2 linked regions of the Arabidopsis thaliana genome follow. The protein of the gene in region 1 interacts with the protein of each later gene in a pairwise test. Each region holds a gene or a part of one and is shown in the gene's direction. Other genes may lie near its edges.

What was found.
Region 2: the proteins of CNGC5 (region 1) and DWF1 interact in a protein complementation assay, tested with the Arabidopsis thaliana proteins (one large-scale study listed by BioGRID).

Annotation. Positions count from the first base shown.
Region 1 is NC_003076.8:23,454,892-23,461,163, forward strand, and holds CNGC5 (cyclic nucleotide gated channel 5), read left to right. Parts: upstream 1-1,673; 5' UTR 1,674-1,775; exon of another isoform or gene 1,776-2,006; intron 2,007-2,124; 5' UTR 2,125-2,224; coding exon 2,225-2,253; intron 2,254-2,432; coding exon 2,433-3,015; intron 3,016-3,176; coding exon 3,177-3,389; intron 3,390-3,780; coding exon 3,781-4,091; intron 4,092-4,231; coding exon 4,232-4,343; intron 4,344-4,481; coding exon 4,482-4,718; intron 4,719-4,879; coding exon 4,880-5,548; 3' UTR 5,549-5,730; downstream 5,731-6,272. Other genes in the region: APO2 (APO RNA-binding protein (DUF794)), read left to right, coding at 1-47, 194-546, 632-1,463; AT5G57950 (26S proteasome regulatory subunit), read left to right, coding at 5,787-6,014, 6,100-6,160. UniProt on the Arabidopsis thaliana protein: Probable cyclic nucleotide-gated ion channel.
Region 2 is NC_003074.8:6,878,991-6,884,200, reverse strand, and holds DWF1 (cell elongation protein / DWARF1 / DIMINUTO (DIM)), read left to right. Parts: upstream 1-1,885; 5' UTR 1,886-1,989; exon of another isoform or gene 1,990-2,572; 5' UTR 2,573-2,584; coding exon 2,585-3,826; intron 3,827-3,922; coding exon 3,923-4,366; 3' UTR 4,367-4,677; downstream 4,678-5,210. UniProt on the Arabidopsis thaliana protein: Plays a critical role in the general process of plant cell elongation. Involved in the synthesis of campesterol, an early precursor of brassinolide.

The DNA of each region.
Region 1 (6,272 bases):
TTAATCCCAACACGTTTTATAGATTTGGGTTCTCTCCTTCTCTTCAGGTCAGATTCCTTTACTAGTCAGTATCATCCAATTCTCCAGACTCTGCTTCGTTGTTGTTTTGGTTCTTAGAATTAGACCACACTTCGTTGCTTCCCTTTGAAGTAGAGAGTCAATGTTTACTGTTATGTGCGGATATGTTGTGCAGGGAAGTAGCATTGAGTTTAGCCTTCAGTTGAATTCAAGAGTTGTGCTTAGTAAAGAGCGTCGATCTCTGCCATTAGTTGTGAGAAATGATCGTCCTCAGAATGAAGACTTACCTAAGCAGTACACAAGGCGAGAGAAGAAACCTTTCCCAGTCCCTATTGTGGACCTGAGACGAGCTGCGAGGGAGAGAGTCAAGAACAACAAAGACAAACCTAAGAGACCTCTACCTCCGCCTAAAAATGGTATGGTTGTGAAGAGCCTTGTGCCTCTTGCTTATAAAGTATACAATGCAAGAATCAGATTGATCAACAATCTCCACCGGCTTATGAAAGTTGTTCGTGTTAATGCTTGTGGGTAAAAATTCTCTTCTTCTTCTTGTTTCATTTTTGGTCTGTTTTGAGTATGGCCTTTTTTTGATGTTGTATGATTGGTCTCTTAGGTGGTGCAATGAGATTCATGTTGGACCTTATGGGCATCCATTTAAGTCGTGTAAAGGTCCCAATACTTCCCAAAGGAAAGGTCTTCATGAATGGACTAACTCGGTTATTGAGGACGTTATTGTTCCTCTTGAAGCCTATCACCTTTTTGACCGCCTTGGCAAGCGTATCCGTCATGATGAAAGATTCTCGATTCCCCGAGTTCCTGCTGTAGTTGAGCTCTGCATTCAGGGCGGCGTTGAAATACCCGAATTTCCAGCAAAAAGGAGAAGAAAACCGATTATCCGCATTGGCAAAAGCGAGTTTGTTGATGCAGATGAAACTGAATTGCCTGATCCAGAGCCTCAGCCTCCTCCAGTGCCATTGTTAACTGAGTTACCTGTCTCAGAGATCACTCCCCCATCTAGCGAAGAAGAAACAGTCTCCTTAGCCGAAGAAACATTACAGGCCTGGGAAGAAATGAGAGCAGGAGCCAAAAAGCTGATGAGGATGTACAGGGTTAGGGTCTGTGGGTACTGTCCAGAGGTTCACGTAGGTCCAACGGGACACAAGGCCCAGAACTGTGGTGCATTCAAGCACCAACAGCGGAATGGCCAGCATGGTTGGCAATCTGCAGTACTTGACGACTTGATACCGCCAAGATATGTTTGGCATGTTCCTGATGTGAATGGGCCACCGATGCAGCGAGAGCTACGAAGCTTCTACGGGCAAGCACCTGCTGTTGTGGAGATATGTGCTCAGGCTGGCGCTGTTGTACCTGAGCATTATAGAGCTACAATGAGACTGGAGGTTGGAATTCCTTCGAGTGTGAAAGAAGCTGAGATGGTTGTTTGATATGTAGAAGACCTTGTAAACTTCTTCTTGTACAAAATCCTCCATTCCACCTTGTGTTGTATAATAATATCACAGCCCAGGTCTTTTTGACTTTTGAAGGACAAAAAAAACAATCCACGCTAATCCTATTATCAAGGGTAAAAATGTCATTTGCTTCGTTTTCATCTTTTCTCGTTGCCATTTTCTTTTTTTTGTCTGTGTCAAGTCGATACCACTTGTCTGGTAGCTTTATACCCACTTTCATCTTTTTCATGTTCGTAGTTGTTCCTCTGGTTATCCTCATCAACGGGACCCTTGAAACCGTGTAGCCATGTAAGCCTTTGTCTTTGTCTCTTTCTCTTGCTTCAGCAAGTTCACGTCTGCTCTATTTCTAATTTTGTTCTAAGATTCAATTCTCCTTTTTTCTATGCGAGAAATTTAAGATTGGTTCTCTAGCTCTACCTCTTTAAATTTGTTACTATGTGTCGGTGTCCATCATTCATCAAATTTTTTCCTTTTTTATCCATTTGAGTTGATGTAATGATGTTGCTTCGCTTCATACTGGTCAGAGTTAGTCTAATCTTCATTTTAGCACAACTTGACAACTTCATATGGTTATGACTTATTTTTACTTGGGTCTTTCAAAGGTTAAGTATTTTAGTCTTATTTTGGGATGATGCAGCTTGCTTAATGATTAGAGTCTTAAAGCTGTGCTCTTTCTTCATCGATTTGAGCAAGTGATCTTGGAAGGCTCTTGAGTTCTGAATTCCTTGTAAGCAATCATGGCAGGGAAAAGAGAAAACTTTGTGAGGTTAGTGCTGCATCCTTTTGTTTTAATACAAAGATCTGAAGTTTGAATGTGAGAAACGTATTGATTTGGCAATGGTTGTTTCTGATTTGTTTCCTTATGAAAGTATAGTGTGATTGTACTGAACTATAGCTTGTTGGTGCATAGTAATCTGAAAGTGGTGTTGTTCATACCTTTTATAGGGTGGATGATTTGGACTCTAGGTTACCATCATCATCTGTAGCCTTCCAACAGAACTACGCCTCCAATTTCAGTGGACAACTTCATCCTATTCATGCAAGCAATGAAACTTCTAGATCCTTCAAGAAAGGTATCCAGAAGGGTTCCAAAGGGCTTAAGTCGATCGGACGTTCACTTGGTTTCGGTGTTTATCGAGCAGTGTTCCCAGAAGACCTTAAAGTATCTGAAAAGAAGATATTTGATCCTCAGGATAAATTCCTTTTGTATTGCAATAAATTATTCGTTGCGTCATGTATTCTTTCAGTGTTTGTGGACCCTTTTTTCTTCTATCTTCCTGTGATTAATGCTGAGTCCAAGTGCCTGGGTATTGACAGAAAACTGGCTATCACAGCAAGTACATTGCGGACTTTTATCGATGTGTTTTATCTCGCTCACATGGCTCTCCAGCTTAGGACTGCTTATATTGCACCTTCATCACGGGTCTTTGGGCGAGGTGAACTCGTGATTGATCCTGCACAGATAGCAAAGAGATATCTACAACGTTGGTTTATTATTGACTTTCTCTCAGTACTTCCTCTCCCTCAGGTTGGTTAATATAAGTTTTGATCATTTCAGTAAATTGTGTGTTGGAAAACATCATTGCTTAATTTGTTGAAAGGGTGCAGTAGCCAGTAGTTGGTGATCAGACATCTCTGTCAAGCGCTTTCTAGTTCTAGATTTACAGTACTCATTTTGTGTATGTGCAGATTGTAGTTTGGAGGTTCTTGCAAAGTTCAAATGGGTCGGATGTATTGGCTACAAAGCAGGCCTTGCTTTTCATTGTTTTGGTCCAGTATATACCGCGATTCCTACGTGTCTTACCCTTGACGTCAGAATTGAAAAGGACAGCAGGTGTCTTTGCTGAAACGGCTTGGGCTGGTGCCGCTTATTATCTGCTTTTATATATGCTTGCAAGTCATGTGAGTTTATATACCTTTTTCATTTTAAGACGTTGCTTGTACTATTCAATGCTTGCCCATTCACCATGAGTTATGTGACTGTGGCACCAAAAGTGCAAAACAAGGAAATATTTGCATATCCGTTTCACTGTTATGAACTTATGTTCAAATGTTTAGTTTCCTAAGACATGTAAAGGAGCTTATTGAGCTTTCTGGTTAAGCCGTCTATGCTTACCTTTGATGTTCTATGCAACCTTTCGTTTTATCTTAGTTGATGTTCATGCCTCATGGGATCACAAATGTCAAGTTTCTTATGACGAGCAACTCTGATTGTATAGCTTATTTACTCTTCAATAATAGTATTGACTTGGTAAGTGCTATTTTGATTGAGCCACTGTTTCGTATCTTGCAGATAGTTGGAGCTTTTTGGTACCTTTTAGCCTTAGAACGTAACGACGCCTGCTGGCAGGAGGCCTGTATAGATGCAGGGAATTGCAGCACAGATTTCTTGTACTGTGGCAATCAAAACATGGACGGCTATGCTGTTTGGAACAGAGCCAAGGAATCTGTTCTTAAGTCCAAGTGCCGAGCTGACCTCGATGATAATAATCCTCCATTTGACTTTGGGATTTATACACAGGCTTTATCGTCTGGAATTGTCTCGTCCCAAAACTTCATCGTAAAATATTGTTATTGTTTGTGGTGGGGCCTTCAGAACTTGAGGTAACCATGTTCTATCACTATTCAGTCGAAAGACTATTGCTTTGATCTTACCAATTCTCACTAAACTCGGCTCCTTTATCAAAGTTATGCGTCTATGAGTTTCAGATATTCATATAGTACTTCTCATTGTTGCACCACAGTACACTTGGACAAGGGCTTGAAACCAGTACATACCCAATGGAGATTATATTTTCCATATCTCTCGCCATTTCTGGGTTGATCCTCTTTGCTCTTCTCATTGGAAACATGCAGGTGAGTAATTATGGTGCAACCTTAGCTACTTTCGTGATCATTAGAAATTTCTTGTAAGCTCTTTCAATGGAAGCATCATGCATAATTTGTTTCCTCTGCATAATGACTATCTAACAACATTTTGCAATCTTGGGACAGACATATCTCCAATCTCTTACCATCCGGCTTGAAGAAATGAGAGTAAAGAGGCGTGATTCAGAACAATGGATGCATCACAGAATGTTACCACAAGATCTTAGGGAGCGTGTGAGGCGCTATGACCAGTATAAATGGTTGGAGACACGTGGTGTAGATGAAGAGTATCTCGTTCAGAATCTTCCCAAGGATCTCCGGAGAGACATCAAGCGGCATCTCTGTCTGGCTTTAGTGCGAAGGGTAAGTTCTCCCCGCTGTTCCTTATTCAAGCTTCTCACATAGATCACACACCCTTTTGAACATCTAGGACCCATTGAATAACAGTCGGCTCATAACTAAAACGAGCTCTTGACCATCGACAAGCTAGCTTGGTTCATGATACGTTTTTACCATAATATTAGGTTCCATTGTTTAAGAGCATGGACGACAAGCTGCTGGATGCGATCTGTATGCGGCTGAAACCATGCTTGTTCACAGAGAGTACCTACTTAGTGCGGGAAGGAGATCCTGTAGACGAGATGCTATTCATAATACGTGGTCGCCTCGAGAGTGTGACAACAGATGGAGGCAGGAGCGGTTTCTTCAACCGCAGTCTCCTGAAAGAAGGAGAATTCTGCGGGGAAGAGCTTCTGACATGGGCATTGGATCCAAAATCAGGTGTAAATCTCCCGTCTTCCACGAGGACCGTGAAAGCTCTGACAGAAGTAGAGGCGTTTGCGCTGACCTCAGAGGAGCTGAAGTTTGTAGCAAGCCAGTTCCGGCGCTTACATAGCAGGCAAGTGCAGCACACATTCAGGTTTTACTCTCACCAATGGAGGACTTGGGCTGCTTGTTTCATCCAGGCTGCCTGGCGTAGATACTGCAAGAGGAAGAAAATGGAAGAGGCAGAAGCCGAGGCCGCGGCTGTGTCCAGCTCAACCGCTGGACCTTCATACTCCATTGGGGCTGCATTTCTTGCCACTAAGTTTGCGGCTAATGCGCTTCGCACCATTCACAGGAACCGGAACACAAAGATTAGGGATTTGGTGAAGCTGCAGAAGCCTCCTGAGCCTGATTTCACTGCTGACTGATGATTGAGCAGCTTGTAGACATTATTGTTTATAATTTATGGGAATCATTACGGTTGAGATAAACAAATATTGCTTGGCTTTAAAGCTGCTTGTGCTGTCTGTAAAATTAATATATGAAGTGTAGAAACAAAGAGATTATAGCCGTTGGATTTAATAAATGTACGGTTAGGATCATATGCCGGTTAAAGAATGGGTCTATTGGGCCTTTTAATGAAGCCCACAATATATTCACGGTGACATGCTCCGGTCCCAAGGTAGAGAGAAGTTGCGATTGATTTCGGTGAAAGAATTAAGAATCGATCGGACTTGGAGAAGAGAAGAGAAGATGGTTGGCGCGAATCTGAAAGCGGAGACGATGGCTCTAATGGACAAGAGAACAGCCATGGAGACGGAGATGAACTCTATTGTCGAACGTCTCTGCAATCCCGGTGGTCCTGGTCTCTCCGGCAATCTCATCGACTCGGAGGTACTGTATCTGCGTCCTCACTCTTCTCTAATCTTAACCGAAAATTCTGCTTAATTTTCTCCTTTGATTCGTTTGCTTATGGCAGGGATTTCCTCGGGAAGATATTGACATTCCCATGGTGAGAACTGAGCGCCGTCGTCTTGCTGGTGATTTCTCTTTTCTTGTGCTGAATTAGTCCATAGTTAGGGTGAGACTACAACTCCAAGGTTAGTTTAAACTTAGGAAACATAGCAGAATCATACTGATTATATGTAGTTT
Region 2 (5,210 bases), on another chromosome or scaffold:
GTTGTTGTCTCTGGCTTCTTCACACTTTTTTAGGTACTAATGGAATGGACAAAGACGGTTTTTGTTGATGCAGAAATGACGCATGGGTTTATTTGGCGTTGGACCAAAGAGTAATGTCTTTGTATTTGGATATATATATAAACAAATTGGTGTTTCTTGTAATGTAAACATTGGTGTGATTACACGACCTTGTAACGGTTTAAAACTTTGTCAAGCGTCAACCAAATTTTCACTGACGTCAAACTGTCAATGTCAAAAGGTGTGATTCGCCAAATAGACATTTATTTTTCCATACTACAAAAAAATGATTTGTAGCTGTAAATGTGAGTAAGAAATTAGTTGGCATATTTTAAAGAGTAAATATATTTTATGAGAGATTTTGCAAGAGCTGGATATTTTCTCAGACAGGCCATCATCCCTGTAATTTTTTTTTTCTTTCTATGTCAAATAAATAAATAATTACTTTTTGGCGACAAAAAAAACTTTTTGAGCACTTCATTACTTTAAAGTGTAACCATTTTTCTAAATAAATCATGATTTTATTTGCTTTTCTAAATCAACTATTAAAATACTTAGGTGGAAATCAAATAATTGGTTACAGTAACAGAATTATATATTGAGAGCCTTTTTCACCAAATAACGTGATAGTTTGTGTGTTTATTACTGTATTATGTAGGCACTGATAATGATACAAATGATTTCATATATGAATTTTGATGAAAAGCATGGCTATTGGGATTTGGGAAAACATTTCTCATCACAGCCGTAGTTTTTTTTTTTATATAAATAAGAGGCATTTTATATAAAATTTTTTACTACACATTAGTTTCTAAAATACTACATTGTAATCTGAATAAGATGAAAGTGAATGACTAATTCACAATTGTTTTGGCTTAAAAAAAACACTCATTTGAAGATCCCTTAAGAGTTGAGAGAAAGATATAAGGAACTCTCATTAGCATTCATAATGTATAATGTTTTCAAGATATTTTAGGCAGTGCTTTTTTTGCTTCAATCATAACATATCAAAACTAAATGTTAAAGATTGTTGTAATAACTATTATGATAAGAAAAGTTGTAATGAACTTTTTGCCAATAAACAATATATAAGATCGTCGGCTTAGTAACCTCACGAGGATGGAATGTGCTTTAGGTACATCAACAAACATGTAGGAGGACTGTTTCGCTAAAAGCATTTAGAAAACAAAAATCAATACAATCAACCCATAAAATGCATTTAAAAAAAAAACGAATTGGACAATTACATTTCCTTCATTGGGCACATGTCTTCCTGTAATTTATTGTGATTTACATACCAAAAGAAAGATATATTTTTCTATTTAAAAGAAATTTAAACTGCTAAGATTTGTTGCCTTTTTTTATTTATTTGCTTTTACCTATTTATAGCAGTAAACTCTTTTCAGAAAAAATATCCCTACAAAGAATTTGTCCTCATATTCCTTTTATATGCTAACTGCTAAGTAAGAAATTATATTTTGGAAGATATGTCTAATTAAGCTCTAGGTTCGATTTACATATAATTTCTAAATGTTAAAAGAGTTGGTAAAAATATATTAAATACTGATATAAGTAAAAACAATTTATTTTTATTTTCTTACATCAGAATTATAAACTAAAAAATTGCTCATAAATATAACACATGTGATTTATCAACATTACAACTAACATCGAATTTTTAATTGCGATAACAACAAAGAAACTTAGAAATATGAAAAACCACTTATACAAACCCATGAAAAATATACATTATATATTTCTTAATTTCTATATTTTTGCGTTATTATTACCTTTTTTATTTTAAAATTATATAAAAAAATGGGAAATAAAAAATACCTTGTTTTGAGCGAAAAATGCAAGTGAAGCAGGCTGGCTTGAATCACGTTTTATTATAAAGACAAATGCTCTCACACTCTTGGGGACACTTTCACATCTCATCCTCTCACTCTCTCTCTCCTTTGGATTCTTCAGGTACTCTCTCTACCTCTCTTTCTCTCTCTGTCTCAGTCGCTGACTTATCATTTCCTGTCGTTAGATCTCTCAGTACTTGGTTCATAGTTGTTTCATAGCACGCACTAGTGAACTATGTGGGTTTTTTAATTTTAATCATCTCAGTCTTGGAGAATTTCAAACAAAGTTTCAAACTTTGCTCACCAACTTTTATTTATTTATTTTGGTGGTAGAAAACAGACTTTGATGGCTTTGTAGGAATACTAGATGTGTAGATCTAAAGATTATAACCATTTTCTGTGTTCTTGTTCTTTCAGAACATAACTTCATGTCTTTTTGTCTCTCTGTTCACTAGCTCTCTGTTTCCATGGACTCCACACTATCTTCTTCTTACAGATTTATTTCATACACATACACTGATACACATGTGTGTATACGTATGTGTTTATGTGTGCTTATTATACTCTTTTTGGATTCAAGAAACTAATCTTTAGTATTTTTGACATTCTGGTAGATTTATGCTCACTTCTTAGGCCTTGTTGACTTTTACAGTGATGGATTTTGAAACTCTGGTTGATTTGATTTTCTTTTTGGTTTGATGCAGTGAGGAGAGGAAATGTCGGATCTTCAGACACCGCTTGTGAGGCCCAAGAGGAAGAAGACTTGGGTTGATTACTTTGTCAAGTTCAGATGGATCATTGTCATCTTCATCGTCCTTCCATTCTCAGCCACATTCTACTTCCTCATCTACCTCGGGGACATGTGGTCAGAGTCCAAGTCCTTTGAGAAACGTCAGAAGGAACACGACGAGAATGTCAAGAAAGTCATCAAAAGGCTTAAGGGTAGGGATGCTTCCAAGGACGGGCTTGTCTGCACTGCTCGTAAGCCCTGGATCGCTGTTGGAATGAGGAACGTTGACTACAAGAGAGCCCGGCATTTCGAGGTTGACTTGGGGGAGTTCCGTAACATCCTTGAGATCAACAAGGAGAAGATGACTGCTAGAGTGGAGCCTCTTGTTAACATGGGACAGATTTCCCGTGCTACCGTCCCAATGAACCTGTCTCTCGCTGTTGTTGCTGAGCTTGATGACCTTACCGTTGGTGGACTTATCAATGGATATGGTATTGAAGGAAGCTCTCACATCTACGGTTTGTTTGCTGATACCGTTGAGGCTTACGAGATTGTTCTTGCGGGTGGAGAGCTTGTCCGCGCCACAAGGGATAATGAGTATTCTGATCTTTACTACGCAATCCCGTGGTCGCAAGGAACTCTTGGACTCCTTGTAGCTGCTGAGATCAGGCTTATTAAAGTCAAGGAGTACATGAGACTCACTTACATACCAGTCAAGGGTGATCTTCAAGCCTTAGCTCAAGGTTACATTGATTCTTTTGCTCCCAAAGACGGTGACAAGTCGAAAATCCCGGATTTCGTCGAAGGCATGGTTTACAATCCAACGGAAGGAGTGATGATGGTTGGAACATATGCATCTAAAGAAGAGGCAAAGAAGAAAGGGAACAAAATCAACAATGTGGGATGGTGGTTCAAGCCGTGGTTCTACCAGCACGCGCAGACCGCCCTGAAAAAGGGACAGTTTGTTGAGTACATCCCAACTCGTGAATACTACCACAGGCACACAAGGTGCTTGTACTGGGAAGGGAAGCTTATTCTTCCATTTGGTGATCAGTTCTGGTTTAGGTACCTCTTAGGTTGGTTGATGCCTCCAAAGGTCTCTCTTCTTAAGGCCACTCAAGGTGAAGCTATCAGGAACTATTACCATGATATGCATGTTATTCAGGATATGCTTGTTCCTCTTTACAAGGTTGGCGATGCACTCGAATGGGTCCACCGCGAAATGGAGGTAAAACTAAAAGCTCGGTTTCATGATTGATCATCTTCTAGTTAAAGTTTCTTTTGATGTTATTAACAAAATCATGAATTGTTTGTTCTCTTTCAGGTGTATCCAATTTGGCTTTGCCCACACAAACTCTTCAAGCAGCCAATCAAAGGCCAAATCTACCCAGAGCCAGGCTTCGAGTACGAAAACAGACAAGGAGACACAGAAGATGCACAGATGTACACTGATGTTGGAGTCTACTACGCACCTGGCTGTGTCCTAAGAGGTGAAGAGTTTGATGGATCAGAAGCAGTGCGTAGGATGGAGAAATGGCTGATAGAGAACCATGGATTCCAGCCTCAGTACGCGGTGTCTGAGCTCGACGAGAAGAGCTTCTGGAGAATGTTTAATGGTGAATTGTATGAGGAGTGCCGCAAGAAGTATAGAGCTATTGGAACGTTCATGAGTGTTTACTACAAGTCCAAGAAAGGAAGGAAGACTGAGAAAGAAGTTAGAGAAGCCGAACAAGCTCATCTCGAAACTGCTTATGCCGAGGCAGATTAAGTAATAATAAGCCTTGGTTTGATGTAATGGCTCGGGATGATTATTGTTATTCCTAGTAGTGTCTGTTATGTTGTTGTTTCCTAATTTCAGTTTTAGTGTCTTGAAGACTCTTGTTGTTGTTGTTTGCTTCTTGTTGTTGTTTGACTCATTCTGGTTTGAGTGGATTTTAGAGTTTAAAACTTTTGGATTTGCCTATGAAATTGAAGGTTTCCGGTTTTATCGTGTTGCTTGACTGTCACAATGTAAGCATGTTGCTGTAATGAATTAATTGATCTACCAATTTGAGAGATCATTTCAACTTCTCTCTTTATACCACCACCAACTAGGCTTTAGATCATTCACGACGTGAATCTAAAACACTAAAACCCGACTTTGTTAGTTTTATTGGGGTGCGGTTAGGTTTGATATAAACCTGGAAATACCGGTATTTGAACCGAAGTTGACCGGGTGAGACTTTTTAGGATAAACCCAAGCAGCCATTTCCGAGTAAGAAGAGCTCTGTTTCTGAAAGAAGTTTTACAGAGTCGATCGTCTAAAGCGTTGTTGAAGCACTTGTTAGTGGTAAGTAATTTCGATTTATTAATTCTTGTTGTATCTTTTGTATTCGAAGTTACTTGCTTGTTTTTCGATTTCGTCTCCGTCATGATGTTTGCGGCTCTGTTAATTGGAAGTGGAAAGGTCTGTCCTTTATCTACATAAAATGGTGCATAGAAGGTGTTCGACCAAATTCCTAGCTCAAATTCCTTTAGTTACATTAGCTCTGACTGGAATGTAACTGTGAAGTCTCGATACCCAATTCATTCTTTTCAAAAACAATTGAAGATTATTATTTCCCTTCTCAAGA